3 linked regions of the Oryzias latipes genome follow. The protein of the gene in region 2 purifies or fractionates together with the protein of the main gene of each other region. This does not show direct contact. Links are inferred from orthologs where the notes say so. Each region holds a gene or a part of one and is shown on either strand. Other genes may lie near its edges. The genes, in order: nucleosome-remodeling factor subunit BPTF, hmgxb4 and c14h17orf49.

What was found.
Region 1: the proteins of hmgxb4 (region 2) and nucleosome-remodeling factor subunit BPTF fractionate together in Homo sapiens (co-fractionation; 3 studies listed by BioGRID, with this or other methods). This does not show direct contact. The link is inferred for Oryzias latipes from reciprocal best matches to the Homo sapiens genes HMGXB4 and BPTF.
Region 3: the proteins of hmgxb4 (region 2) and c14h17orf49 purify together in Homo sapiens (affinity purification with mass spectrometry; 4 studies listed by BioGRID and IntAct, with this or other methods). This does not show direct contact. The link is inferred for Oryzias latipes from reciprocal best matches to the Homo sapiens genes HMGXB4 and BACC1.

Annotation. Positions count from the first base shown.
Region 1 is NC_019866.2:20,704,272-20,708,652, forward strand, and holds part of nucleosome-remodeling factor subunit BPTF, read right to left. Parts: intron 4,314-4,381; coding exon 4,082-4,313; intron 1,624-4,081; coding exon 1,487-1,623; intron 1,400-1,486; coding exon 1,306-1,399; intron 1,227-1,305; coding exon 1,048-1,226; intron 966-1,047; coding exon 1-965. UniProt on the Homo sapiens protein: Regulatory subunit of the ATP-dependent NURF-1 and NURF-5 ISWI chromatin remodeling complexes, which form ordered nucleosome arrays on chromatin and facilitate access to DNA during DNA-templated processes such as DNA replication, transcription, and repair.
Region 2 is NC_019866.2:21,061,834-21,066,982, forward strand, and holds the start of hmgxb4 (HMG domain-containing protein 4), read left to right. Parts: upstream 1-1,718; 5' UTR 1,719-1,801; intron 1,802-2,453; 5' UTR 2,454-2,516; coding exon 2,517-2,538; intron 2,539-2,719; coding exon 2,720-2,856; intron 2,857-2,939; coding exon 2,940-3,015; intron 3,016-3,095; coding exon 3,096-3,674; intron 3,675-3,750; coding exon 3,751-3,951; intron 3,952-5,036; coding exon 5,037-5,149. Other genes in the region: ankrd54 (ankyrin repeat domain-containing protein 54), read left to right, coding at 835-909. UniProt on the Homo sapiens protein: Negatively regulates Wnt/beta-catenin signaling during development.
Region 3 is NC_019872.2:23,756,189-23,761,334, forward strand, and holds c14h17orf49 (chromatin complexes subunit BAP18), read right to left. Parts: upstream 3,047-5,146; 5' UTR 2,741-3,046; coding exon 2,720-2,740; intron 2,223-2,719; coding exon 2,128-2,222; intron 1,653-2,127; coding exon 1,551-1,652; intron 916-1,550; coding exon 698-915; intron 622-697; coding exon 517-621; intron 427-516; coding exon 362-426; 3' UTR 129-361; downstream 1-128. Other genes in the region: rnasek (ribonuclease kappa), read left to right, coding at 3,250-3,327, 4,483-4,565. UniProt on the Homo sapiens protein: Component of chromatin complexes such as the MLL1/MLL and NURF complexes.

The sequences.
Region 1 (4,381 bases), about 360 kb from region 2:
TTGTGTGTTAGGGCGGTGTTGGGTATCAGGGTGGTGTTGTGTGTCAGGGCGGTGCTGGGTATCAGGGTGGTGTTGTGTGTCAGGGCGGTGCTGGGTATTAGGGTGGTGTTGTGTGTCAGGGGGGTGCTGGGTATCAGGGTGGTGTTGTGTGTCAGGGCGGTGCTGGGTATCAGGGTGGTGTTGTGTGTCAGGGCGGTGCTGGGTATTAGGGTGGTGTTGTGTGTCAGGGCGGTGCTGGGTATTAGGGTGGTGTTGTGTGTCAGGGCGGTGCTGGGTATTAGGGTGGTGTTGTGTGTCAGGGCGGTGTTGGGTATTAGGGTGGTGTTGTGTGTCAGAGCAGGGATGTGGGTACTGGTTTGGTTCTGTGGGGGCTGTGAGACCACGACTTGTCTAGGAGTCACACTCAGGCTTGAGGGAGGCTGGATTGAAACCGATGGAGAGGGGGAGGTTAAATACTGCGCTCCAACCAAACCCAGTGACTGGGTAGGGACAGGTGATGGTGCAGTGGCAGGGATCTGTGTTTGTAGGGCAGTTTGAGCCACAGCCTGGGGCAGAGCAGGTGAAGTAGCAACCACTGGGGTTTGAACAGAGGCAGAAACTGGGCTGTGGGCGGAGCTTAAAATTTGTGATGGGCTTGACATGTGTGTAGGAGCGGGCAGTGGTGCCGTCATTTGTGTTTGGGCCATGGAGGATGGAGTTGTGTGGACCTGTGCTTGGACTTGGGTGGGTATCTGGGTCTGGGCGGGGACAGGTTTTGCAGGAGCAGCAGTTGGGGAAGGGGCAGCAGAGGAGGACGGGGGCATAGGCGTGAAGAGGAAGCGCTGCACCTGACCATTGGGCATGGCGGCCTGCATTAACTGCTGACCAGGACCGGGGATGACAGTAACGCCCTGTGGGATGATTTGAAGCTGCCCCTGGGTTTGACCTTGACCTTGGATCACCACCGTTAGTCCTGGGTTTCCTCCCTGCATAGTTTTAGACAAAACCCATCTTCAGCCTCATAAACGACAACATTCAAGGTTAAATGAAAAAGGGGTTGTCCTTTACCTGTGCCCCCTGTGTCAGCTGCATAAGCTGAGCCATCGTCAGCTTGACTTGACCCTGCTGGGGTTTTTGGGCCGGAGCAGCAAAGTTCTGTCCTGCAGGGGCAGGAGATGCTGCTGCAGAACCTGTGACGGCTGGTTGATGATTACGTTTCATCTGGGTCAAAGCCTGCTGAGGTGAAGCTGCACCAAGAGTTTACATTTGATTAGTTCTTTTTTTTAACATACAACACAAACAACATTAGTTTGCAGAAGTTGAAACCTTGTTGAGCTGCAGCTGAATTTCTCATGGTGGAGGTAGATGGAGAAACGGGCGCCGCTGTGCTTGTGGTCGTCAGGCCTCCCGTGGTGACGGTCTAAAAACAAAAGTTCAAACATTAGTGAGCGTCCTTTGGAGCTGCGTTTCATTAAAAGCAAAGCTGGTGGGGTGAGCGTCACTGCACCTGCTGCTGAGCGTTTGAGGACGGGGGCGCAGATCTGAGGTTGATGTTGCCCGTTGTAGGGTGTAGTGCGCTGTAGGTCCTAAGGTTTGCTGGAGGCCCAGATGGGAAAATACTGACAACTTTCTGCTGACCTGCACCTGTTGATGAGAGGAGAAAGATGGATGATGAGGACAGAGCAGCACCCTTTTGAAGTAAATGCCCTCAAAAAACAGCAGTTTTATTTTAGACCAGAAGTAATTCAATGAAACGTGTATGTTTGATTTTCGACAAGAATTCAAAGAAATATGGCTTTTTACTGAAAAACAAAAAGAGAGAAAAATGGTGAGAAATCCTGAGGTATTTATTGAGCGGCGGGCGCAGTACGATTCTCTAGAGGCAGCGTGTTTTCTGCAACTTTTTTTTCCTGCTTGCCCTGTCCAGCAGCAAACAGATGAGAGCTGCAGGCCTCTGTTACAATAGTGGGTTCAATAGCGGGTTATGAATCTTCTGACAAACGAGGTGTATATTTGTATAAACCCCTTTTGGATTTAAGACTAAACTTAGTAATGAGTAATTTGCACTGATTTCTTGTTAACTGGACGGGAAGGCAAAGAGAAAGACAGTGGGATGTTAGAGATAGAGGATAAAGGAAGTAGAGGATGAAAAGAGGCAACAAGTAGCTGGAGGTTTCTCATAATTACGATCAAATGTAGATGACAGTCAAAAGTAGGGGTCGACCAATTACCAGTACTGATTTATTTGTTTTTTTACTGACTTATTTATTTTTAAATGAACAAAGTTATTTGCTGGTGTTTGTTTTATTCTAAATTTTGATGCCAATATCAAAATTTGCACTTTCACTGCAAATGAATATCAGCACCAAATATTGGTTACTGATAATAATAATTAACGACCCTGACATTTTTTTAAAAACAACACCTCGATCAATCTCCAGGGGAGCCAGTTTAGCTCGTGCTGGTTTGCGGCGCCTTCCGTCCGTGAAACCCGGGTTCGACTCCGGGCTGCTCCCTGTTCCCTTCTCTACCTCTGCCGGTTCCAAGCCCGGTTTGAGAAGGTTGTGTCAGGAAGGGCATCCGGCGTAAAACATTGCCAAATTTACCATGCGACTCATTCGCTGTGGCGACCCCTGATGGGAGAAGCCGAAAGTGGAAGACCTCGATCAATCTCCACAGACACACTCAAATATTACAAACATACCTGTTGGCTCTAAAAAACCATCACACACATACATCAACATGTACACAATACAAATACAGCTTTCAAGCTCATGCTTGTGCAAACAAACACACACAGGTCAAGCATGTTTCATTCATGCTCGCATAATATTTGCGAAAAGTGAGCGGGCAAAGAGGCGAAAAGTTCAAATATTGGAACTTGCATCCTGTCAACCAATCAGGGACTCAGCTTTGGTCCATGACACGTTGATGATCAGCAGCTAAAGTCCAAAACCAACATGGAGACTTGGAAGCTGATTGTTGCTTTTTGTTCCCCTCCTAAACTTTATGATATTTTCTTATTTGGATCGAGACAATAACAAAAAAAGGTCCTCTGAATTTATGTTAATTTTTTCTCCTTCCTGTGACAGAAAGTCATCAACCTGGGTCACAGAGACATGGAAGCACCACTGAAAGCGCCGTCATTCAGACGCAGCTGCTGCAGTAGATGGTGAAGCTCGCCGTACCGCGAGAGTCTCTGAATGATCTCATGAACCCAGACGTGAAGACGTGGTGACCGATGCTTTTGTAGAGCTCTTCTAAATAAATAATCCTGGTCTCTCAATGTCATCCGCGTCTTTCACGTGCCAGCAAAACTATTGATAGTAGCTCCTCCCACACGCGGCAGGACACACTTTTGGAGGAGCAGGGAATCTGACGTGCGTCAACAGCTGTGGCGGATGCAGATTTGCTGCGTGAACCGCGCTCGGTGTGAAAGCAGCATCAAAACATCTTCATATCAGCAACATTTGGAAGGCATGAGCTCCAAGCACAACCGTTTCCTGCTCTCTGGAGTAGGAAACGGTCTTCCCAGCAGAGGGCAGCAGGAATGCCGGTCCGGAGCCGCTGCCAGCCGAAAGGAGCTGTGCCACGTACCATGAGGTCTGTGGTGTCCAATCCCAGGAGCTGGGATTTGGAAAATCTGATGGTTCACTGGAGTTCAGATGATTCCTCTCAGAGTGTTATTCAAAGAGGCTGTAAGCCCATTTGACCAACATTCTAATGTTAAAAAATGAAATGTAGTTTCCCTTTCGGCTTTTCCCATCAGGGGTCGCCACAGCGAACGAGTCGCATGGTAAACTTGGCAACGTTTTACGCCGGACGCCCTTCCTGACGCAACCTTCTCAAAGCAACTGGGCTTGGGACCGGCACAGAAGTAGAGAAGGGAACAGGGAGCAGCCCGGAGTCGAACCCTGGTTTCACGGACGGAAGGCGCCGCAAACCAGCACGAGCTAAACCGGCTCCCTAATGTTAAAAAATGAAATACTGGGGAAAAACTGAAAACTAAAATAAAACCGAGAAAGTAGTCAAAATAGACTTTAACTCCTGATAACCTCCTCCACCTCCTCCTCCTCCTCCTCCTTCTGCTGCTGCTGCTCACCAGAGCTGTTGGTGGTTTGACCCTGTTTAACCCAGGAAGCAAAGGACTGGTGGAAGTTCTTGTCCTGCTGGAAGGGAACTGTGGAGCCGAGCTTGGAGGCCAGCACCATTTTAGCTCCGGTGGGCGCCTGTCCTGCCCTCAGGGTCGTGGGGGTGCTGGCTGCAGTGGTGGTGATGGTGGTCGTGGTGGAAGTGGCAGCAGTCGTATTTAGTCTCTGCTGCTCGAGGCGTTTCTACAAACAGAAGACGTTGGTGCTGGTGGTCAGACGGGTGCGGATGTGGAAGCAGAGAAGGCAGGAGC
Region 2 (5,149 bases):
ATGATGGGATTGTGGCTAATGTTATAGTGAAGGTCACAGATACACTGTGATTGGGCCTGTTGTCAGATCTGGCAGCGCAAGGAATTTGGGGAATTGTGGGATACCATTCCCTTTGGCTGTCTGCAAAGTGTGGGTCTTTGTCTATATGTTTTGTCATCTGGCTGTTTTATAATAATAATAATAATAATGGATTGAATTTATCTGCGCTTTTCAAGACACTCAAAGCGCTTACATTGTGTCCATTATTCATTCACTCCCGTCATTGGACGACCCGCTCATCCGCCTGAGCCACTGTCGTTTTACTCTGTTTTGCCCTTAGTTATTTTATCCTGTTATGTTTATTTATTTCTGCACCATGAATGAGGGGGAGGGAGAGGGTGATGACTGACCCCCTTGTGATGTACAATGTGGTATAGTCCAAAAAAATAATGTCAGAGGTCATAATAACTGATCCCTTAGTCTCCTTAATATATATCCCTGCGTGGGATATTGCTGGGCCATTATGATCAATAGTTTAAAATTATCTTGCAGGCTAGATATAATATCTTGATGGTTTGGATGACTTTGATACATGTGCTCTAGAATATTGTTGACAAAGAAGTTTGTGGTCAAGTGTAAAGAATTATTCTGCAAATAAGGCCCAAGCCATCATCCTTCTGCTATAATGCTTGACAGTTATACGGTGTTGGAGCTGATGGTTGGTAATTTTATGATAAACACCCATTAAACCTTAGTTTTGGACAGTCGGTGGGTTTGTTCAGAGTGAATATATAGTGAATATATGGTAAATATATTTGGTTCCATCCATTATACTATACCTTTTATTTCTTTCAGGTGGATGAAGTAACTGATTTGCTGGCTAGCTTTACATCCCTCAGTCTCCAAAAACAGAATTTCGGTGACAGGTAGAGGAGGATGGCCTTCTCAGGTCCTTAAAAAAATTGTCTTCAGGCAAGAATTGAAGTTTAATGCTAAAAGGATCGGTCTCAAACACAAACCTCAAGCCCTGCTGTGTTCTACACCTCTAATGAAGTTAAGCCACCATTTATAGAAATCTGCTGTGCTTGGTACCACATTTGCTTTTTTTGTTAAAATATTTGGCTTCAAATCTAAAGGTATTAGGAAAAAGTGCTTTGTTTGTTGACTTTTGTTTTGAATGCAGATGTTCTGTTAAAGAGCAACAATGGAAGTGGAGCTCACAGAACATTAATACGCCCTTACATGTTTGCATGAGAATAGTATTGAATGTTTTCTCATAAATCCTGTTTTTTCTTGCCTTTAATTGTAAAGTTCTGGATTAATTTGGGAAATAATTATTGAAAAGTTTTCTAAGGATTTTTAAGTTTTGATATATTATAAAATGTCTTTTTTGTTTTCTTTTTAATGTGCTTGTTTGTATGTGGATTCTGTTGTAAAGTAATATGAATTTTGCTGTTATTTGAAATTATTGTGAACGAATAAATAGCTTTAGTTCTATTAGTGCCAAATTATCGTTGATGCTGCTTGTGTTGGTCCGTGTATGTCAAATAAATGTATTTTTAAAAAAGTCAATCAATTGTTTGTTGTTTTTTAATCAAATGTTTAAAAGAATTAAAAAATGTATAAATTTTTTTATGAACATAGTAATAAAGTAGGAGTAATCATTCATGTCTTGCTGGTGCCCCGCCCATGTTTTTACAGTCGATGGCTCCTCCACACAAATTGGACGAATGGTCGAAGCTCCGCCCCTTCAGATACGTATTGTTGCTTACTGATAACAAAGATGGCGGACGGACCCGCGTAAATTGACGATCCCATTGAGGTAGTAAAACTGAATAAACACATTACTGTCTGCGTCTGGTCAATTAAAACGATACATACAAACAATATAGAGCCGGTGGACATATAAACAATTCAGACTTCAAGTCAGTCGCTGCTTTTTTTCTACTTGAGCCAACCTCGGCCTACATAGTAGTCAAAGCCTCGGACTTTCCTTAGCTGTTTTGCCTGTCAGCTGCACGTAAAGTCGGTGGCACGTATTTTTCCAGCCGGGCACATGGGAGACATTGAGCTGCCAAAGTGTAAAGAAAGGGGGTGTGTTTGTGTATGCTTGCGGTAGAAGGCGGGAAGTTCATTTTTGAATATTTATACTCGTTTGTTACAAATTGATTAACTAGCAGTTACAACTTAGCTTATTATTTTGTCGTTTTTCTTGGATTGCTGCTTGTATACTCTTTTTGGTTACACCATGGCGACTTAACCAGCTTTCTTGTGGGGAAATCCGTCAAGGGAGCCGCCATGCACATATTAAAGAGATTATATTTTGAGAGAGAAAAAAAAACTGTAAAATTCGATTTTTTTCCCCCCTGATACACTACAGCAGCCTGTATATCAAAGACAAACTGTCTTTTGGCAATTGTTTAGCTAAACGTTGAGGTGTTTTTCACATAATCTGTCACGTGATTGTCTTACAGGTGAGAACCTGCTGTTAATGTTGACCAAGACATCCCAGGACAGGTGATCATAAAGAAGAAACCATGTCATATGAGGAAATAAAAGGTAAGGGAGCAAAGTAAAGTCATTCCTCATTACACTTCTGCACTGTCACATATTTTAAAAAGCAAAAACAAAAAAAATTCTATTATTTTTTCAAGTGAGAAATTAAACTAATTTATTTAGATAGCCATTTTTAAAAATAGAAATGGACCCAAATAGGAATGATCTTCACTCAATCTTTCAGAAATGGGGATGGAGGGAGACAGAGGACTCATTGCCGGGCGAAGCCAGAGGGAGAAGAGGAGGTCCTACAAGGATCTGTTACGAGAGGAAGAGGAAATCGCTGCCCAGGTACGAAAGACATCCAAGAAAAGGCCGAAGGTAAGTTTGTTGTCTCTACCTGAATACATGATGTTGAAGCAGAGCGTGATGGCTTAAATGGACTTTCTCTTGATGCATAACAGGATTCAGAACTTTTCATGTTGGGTGGGGACTCGCACAAAAAGAAGAAAAGGCATAGTGATGACTACTATTACAGGGGTGAGGGGTTGTACAGCTGGAAAGTCATGAGTCGATGGCGGGCAATAAGGAAAAAAAAACGGTATTTGTTTTCTTCTCAGACCACGAGGGCTCAGCTCCACCTCTTCATAAGAAAAAGCACAAGTCTGCAGAACGCTCTCCACCTCTTCATTCCCCGTCATCGTCACATTCGACAGATACAGCGATGGGCCTCCTTCAGGCCATTACCTCTCCCCTTGCCACAGGCTCAGACCCCAGTCCTCATTTGCACAAGAAACCCTCCTACCCGCCCTTCTCCTCGCACTCCTCCAAAGAGCGGAAGCGTGAGAGCGGGAGCAGCGGGAGCATCAAAGGAAGCCACTCCTTCTCACACTCCAAGTCCGTGTCCTCTTCCTCCAAGAAGCACTCGTCATCATCTTCAAAGTCGTCTCTCTTTCATGGCGGAGTTCCCAAAGAAGAGCCTTTGACTTTACGTGAGGCTGACGGGCTGAAAATGAAGCTGATCATGTCTCCAGAGAAGGAGGAACCGGAGGGCTTCCCGTTTGTGTCGCACTCATCCAAAAGTGGAGGGCGCAAAGAAAAGGACAAGGAAAGAGGGCAGACGTCAAAGTCCCCCAAGAAGAAGCTGCAGCAGAGTAAAGAGCCTCTCCCTATTGTGGGGAAAGAGGTGGAGGTGGAAGGTACGTGGAATGAAGGCGGCTCCTCCGGTGGCTTTTGGCGTGATTGCAAATCAATTTGGGTTTCTGTCTCGCACAGGTCACTACGGAGGGGGCATGGGGGATGACAGCTCTTCGTCTGGGGGAGAGCTGGAGGCTGGCGAGCTGGTTATAGATGATTCGTACTCGCACATGTCTAAAAAGAAGAAGAAGAGCAAAAAAAGCAAGAAGAAAAAGGACAAAGAAAAGGACAGACAGGAGAAAAGCGGAAAAGAAAAGAAGCACAGCAAAGGATTTGGAGGTGAGTTTATGCACAGATCAGCAACTCCTATGTTCTATCAAGTATTATGCAATGTTTTTTTGGTGAAATCATCTTAATATCTTCTGTATGTATGATTTATAGAGAAAAATATAGTAAATCTTATCATAGGGCACTGGTTATATTTTTAAAAAAATATATATTTACATATATTTAGGTTTTAGGTTATGTTTAAAATGTTTGTCTAATGTCAAGTTTTTAAACGTTTGAAGAAACTTATTGCATCCCTCAAGTCTATTTTGAAAAAAACAGTTGTGACTTTAAACCACTAACCCGGAAGCAAAAATGAGAGCATTTATGGCCTCATCTTTACACCAATCACAATTACCTTCCCAAGTCAGCAGCTGCAGTTCAACAGCTGCAGTTCAACGCATAGTCAGAAACAGGAACATGTTTTTTCTTCTTTTGTTGGTGCCTTTTCGTATTTAGGGCAGCCATCTATTCATAGAGGGGGGGTCTTTTGTCAGTGCATGAGTGCCATGGCTACACGTGTCTTCATGTTAGCTGTGCTCGGCCTGAGGCGTTTCACAGTTGGATGGCTCTTATGGAAAATTCTCCACTAGATTTTACTTCAAAGTCTTGGCTGCCATAAAGGAACTCAGCGCTCCATGACCTGAAGAAGACTCCAACGTCGCCTTTGATAGATGATGATGAGCCTTAGTGGCAGAAATTTGAACGTATCTGCTGTAAACCAAAGTATTGTTCACATCTGTTCCAATGTTCTGGAAGGATTTATTGCGTGAGTTGATTTGTGTTTATTCACATTTACGGTTTATTGTAATTGCTATATTGTTTTTTTTTCCGACACTTCTAAAGTTCTGTGTATGCATGTGTGTAACGGAAATGCAGCTACTTTAACTCTCCAAAGTTAGCAACTTAAAATACATCCATTGTGGTATTTTTGTGGTTAAGCTAACATCAAGACTCCAGGCTTCTTCTGTGATTTCCAGAAACACCGCCGTCAGATTGAACTGCGCGTTTGTCGGTCCCTAAAGTTCCCACGTCTCCTTGAAATGACAACGGCAGAGCTTTGCTGAACTGTTCTCTTGTTGAACAATTTCTTTCAGACTCCTCAAGAAGCCACAGTCACTCCCATCCCACTGTGAGCCACAGCGCTGTCGGTCCAATGTACGCCATGAGCAAAGTGACCACCCCCCACCACCAAGGCAACAACACAACA
Region 3 (5,146 bases), on a different chromosome or scaffold from region 2:
ATAAAACAAGGCAATATTTTAAAACCTGAAGGAGCAGAACCCTTTGGTTAAAACGTCTGGACATGAGCCTGCAGAGGACCTGCTGTGATTGTGTCCCACACAAGGAAATGAGCGTGTGAGCGGGCGGATCTTCATCTATAACTCCTCTTTATTCTTTATGATAACAGCGGTTCTCCAAACACAAACCCAGCAGCAAAGAAGACATCATTCTGCTGAAATCTAGAAACAAAAGCTCCAGCCGGCGTTCTTAAACCCAAAGTGTCCGCTCCACTCCGTGCTGGAGAAGATCGTGTCCTGCACGCCAGAAAACCAGAGTGCGTTTGTCATGATGTAAGCCTTGATCTCAGTGGGGGGGTGGGGGTCAGCGGGACAGGAGAGGCAGGTCGCCGGAGTTCATGATGAGGCTGGAGTCCAGGTTAAGACTTTCTGAGGAAACAAGAAACGATGGTCATTACAATGGTGTGAGACGGGTAACCAGCAGGGGGCGCCATTGGCCCGCTGCCTGACCCCACCAACCTTGGTCAAAGTTGAGCTTTTTGCTGGAAGAGCCGTCACCGAGTCCCTCGATGTCCACCAAGTCGCTGTTCACGTCCGAGTCATTCAGAGCGCTGAGCGTCACGTCTGCAGGAGCAACACAGCGGTCAGGAGGCGGGACGACGCCGTGCTCAGACCAGAGCTGCACCCGCCTCACGCCTACCTGCAGTCTTCTGTTTCTTGATGGGTGGGGCCAGAGGAGGGTTGTTCTGCATCCCCGTGGCTACAACAACCTGCGAGCTCGGCACGGTGATCATGGCTGGGGTGGCGGGCGCCATGGAAACCGCTGCTTTCTTGACGGTCTTCTTCGGGGATTCAGAGGAGATGGGGACTCGACTGTCCTCGTACAGCTTCCTCTTTACCGTGCTCTTGATCTGAGCGCTGTGGAGGAGCAGGACGAATGGCAGCTGTCAACCAATAAGAAGAGACTACAGACTAAATGAAGGCTTCTTTCAGATGTATGGAGATGTTTAGGACAGAAAGACTGAAGAAACCAAACAGGCGGAAAGGAGAACGACTGCTTCAGAGATACCTTCATCCCTAAAACTGTTCTCTTAGAGCGGAAAGGATCTGAAGGTCTAAGGTCTGGTTCTGAGCTTCGGTCCATCTGCAGCTCTTCTTCCTCTCTCTATGTTTGCTCAAGGCCATAAACCAACCTCCCTGCAGCTTTTCTGTCGTGTTCAGAAAGACTATCTAACCTGGATCCACTCTAAGTAACTGGCTGGAGGAACGAGAGGAGCTCTGATCTCAGGCAGGAACATAAATGTCTTTGTCTCCGTGATGAGGAAGAGTAGCTCTCAGTTCTGTCAGAATCTATCCCCCACCCCGCCCTGTCAGGCAGAATCTAGTTCTGAAAGCCCTGATGAAGGTCTTTGGTTCCTCCTGCTGCTGTGATCAGTGGGGTTCATGCAGACAGGGTTCAGCGTGAGTCTGGAGCAGGGTGCAGGTCTTCGTCCGGCCCGGTTCTGACTCTGACATGAGGCTCTGCTTAAGAATGCGACTGCTCTTTGACTTACACAGTGCGCTCTTTGATCACGGAGCTGATGTTGTTGAGGTCGTCTCCGAAGCGGCGCACCGCCAAGCGCAGCATATCAATCTCCGTCTCGGTCCATTTGGCTCTGAGGATGAAGACAGGTCAGTGACTGAGGACACGCTGAACCTCTGCTGATCAGTCTGAAGGCAGCAGGTCTGGATTTACAAGATCAGAGCAGGTCTGGGTCCATCTTTCAGGAGCTGGTCCTCCGATTCTCCTATTTCAAGAACAAAACAGTCCGGATTCCTCTTTCTCTCAAAGAGGTGAGGAAGAACAGCGCAGATTCCAAATGAAACTGTTTGGGGGCAGATCCACACTAGGTCTGGTCTGATCCAGAACAGGTTTTTTTTCTGATGCTCCAGATCATCCAGAGCTACAATTCTGGAACCATGCAGGATCTGCTTTCTGAAACCTTTCTGAAAACATTTTATACCAGAGAAGCTCAGACCCAAAACCAGATTAATCAGACCCAATCAGCCTGTGAGGCCCCGCCCTCGGGGGGCAGGTGAACTTCAGAACAAGCAGCACGAGCTAACCGGAGAACGGGCTAGAGGTCTCACCCTGCAGGGCTGGAGTCCGACACCGGGTGCAGCTGCATGGTAAGTTCCCCCAGCTTGGTGAAGGCCGCTCCAGCCGCCGAGAAGATCTCCCCCACCTGCAGACAAGAGCCGCTTTCATCAGGGTCCCCGGATTCTGGAGGCTTAGAGGTAGTTAGGTTTCCTCCTTTTACAAATGAAGGAGGATCCGTGCTTTTCTGAGTGAAAGCTGACAGGAGGAGGTCTTTCTGATGATACTGAACAACAACTGAAGGAAACTTTGAAGCTGAACTGTTGAACAAAAACAAAAAGACCTTAAATGGGTCTCTGTTCATTTCTATGGAGCATTAAACTGCTTCATATTTTCAAAACTATAAAACTGATCAAAACTAAAACCACAAACTGGATCAGTGGAGGTGTTCAGACTCGAAGAGGTGAAGAAATATTCAACGTTTTTATTTAATACAAATGTCATTCAGCCTCGCGCAGATGTCTTAACATTCCCGCTGCAACCTTAAAAACGCCTCATTTGCTTGCACGCGCATGCGCACGGAGCTGCAACCGCCATAAAGATAATACGAGTTTACGCGCACGAGACTCAGCTCACGCGGCTTACCTTAGCAGAGGCAGACGTCATTTATCCGGAGATGGTTGTGTTCTCAATCAAAACCACAACAATAAAAACAAAAACACGAAGAAACCCGTTAGCCACAATTAGCTTCTAATGTCGCGGCGGTGAACGGGCTTCCATGGAGGCTGCAGGATACTTTATCAAAACTGCGCAGACTCCGAAGAGGAAGATTTGTGTTTATATTTTGATATAAATTCTGAATATGTGGAAAAATCATCTAGCAGAAGAAACACACAACAAAGGTGGGCAGACAGGATGCGGAGGTTGATGTGCGATGACAACAATTGAGCGCCATTGGTCAATCTCAAAGGAAGAGGCGGGTCGGTAAAAGCCTGATTTGTGATTGGACGATGGATGGCTTCCGAAAACAGCCGAAGGATGACTAGTAAACCCGAACGGGGATGATCAGCTGACAGTGAGGCTACACTGCTCGTTCCTCATTCCTGGCTTCCTCAAAGCTTCGAACGGAGAAGAATACCCGATTCTGACATTCCCACCGACTCGCCAGCACGGTCATGCCGTCGCTTCTTTTCTGCGGGCCGAAGATGGCCGCGTGCGGGATCGTCATTAGCATCTGGGGGGTGATCATGCTGGTGAGTTAGCCTGACAGGAACACGACTGACTAATTCCTGGGTTATCGACGAGTCAACGATTAAGTCAATTTATTAAATAGACGATTTTACTTATTTCAGTTATTTAATAATAATAAAAAATATTTAAAAACGAGCACGAAAAAGAATCACGGCTAAAGACCAATAGCCAACACATAGGCAGGTAATAGACGGGTCCCACCAAGGCCACAGTGTAGTGTAGGCTCCAGCAGGTTAACGTGTAATGGAGATGATGCGTCTAATAACTGGATTCTTCATTTAAATGAACGAGAAGAGCATGGAAATTGGGAACAGGAGCGACTCTTTCGAGATCTGACTCACTATTTGATATTAACACATGTTCAATTGTTATTCTTTAGCTCTGTTATCTGGAGCTTTTACATTTTTTGGCCGAGATTTATGCTCTGAAGAGCATTTTATTGTTTCAGCACAGAAAATGTTAAACTGAGCAGATTATACATAAAATGTATTGACATGAAAAAAAAGAAGTATATCAGGAAAGTGGGGTTTTGTCAAGTACGGTAGTTTTTTTAATGTGCGTTTGGTTTTGTCGAGCAAACGTCCTCTGTTCCACTTCCCTACCGTGGATCACGTGACTAAAACTGGTGTCATGTGATGCGGCAGCGTGCAGAGGGGAAGGGGTTAAGACAAAAGGTCACAGATTTATGCAGCTAACACATTTATTTAAAGAAAAAGTCCAAAGATTCTGGTTTTAGACCTTAGATAAAGACAGTTCTGGTGAACGTCAACCTGCTGGAGAAGTAGACATTTGATTATCAGCTAAAGGTAAGAAGAAGCTGAAATAATTAAACAATGAGTTGTTTTACGTAGAAGTTTGTTGGAGAATGTTAAGACTACAAGAAAAAATATATATAGATATTTATTGTAAAAAGCTAAAATAAAATGCAAACTCGTCAGATTCATCAGCAGAGGCAGAATTGGATCAAGAATGTCCAAAAATGGTGGAGAAGCTCAGCTGTTTGGGGCAGAAACGGGTTCAAACCAACCTTCAAAGTTTGAAGTTAGAGAAAGCCCATAATCCTCTGAAGGTTTGATGTTAGGAACATCCCTGTTAGGAACATTTCTTTGTTGTCTCTGTTGCTGCAGTGTCTCACATTCTCCCCTCATGTCTGACAGGCTATGCTGGGCATCTTCTTCAGCACCAAGTCTGCCGTGCTGATTGAGGACGTCCCGTTCACTGAGGACGACATCTTTAAAGAGTGAGCGTCAGCAGGGCCCCACACAACCAGACCACGGGTTCTTGCACACACGGCAACATTTCACTGAGACAGGGACTGTTTATACCAAATATGTTGACAGTTTTCACCTGTTTTAAGGGCAGATTTGTTTTAAAAACTCCTTTACTGGAAAACAAAGATCAACCGGTAAATTGAGAGCTTTGCTTTTTGGCTCAGCTGTCTTTTCTCCACAACGGACCGATACAGCGACCACATAACTACGGACGCTGCTCCGATCCGCCTGTCAATCTCAAGCTCCGGTCTTCCCCTCACTCGTGAACAAGACCCCAAGATATTTAAACTCCTCTACCCGGGGCAGGGACACTCCACCCACCGAGAGATGGCAAGCTACCTTTCTCGGGTCGAGAACAATGGCCTCAGATTTAGCGGTGCTGACCCTCACTCAGCCGCTTCACACTCGGCCTCAAACCGCCTCAATACACGCTGGAGGTCCCGGCTCAATGAAGCCAACAGGACAACATCATCTGCAAAGAGAAAATTAAATCCTGTGGTCCCCAAACCACACCCCTTCCGGCCCCTGGCTGTGCTTAGAAATTCTGTCC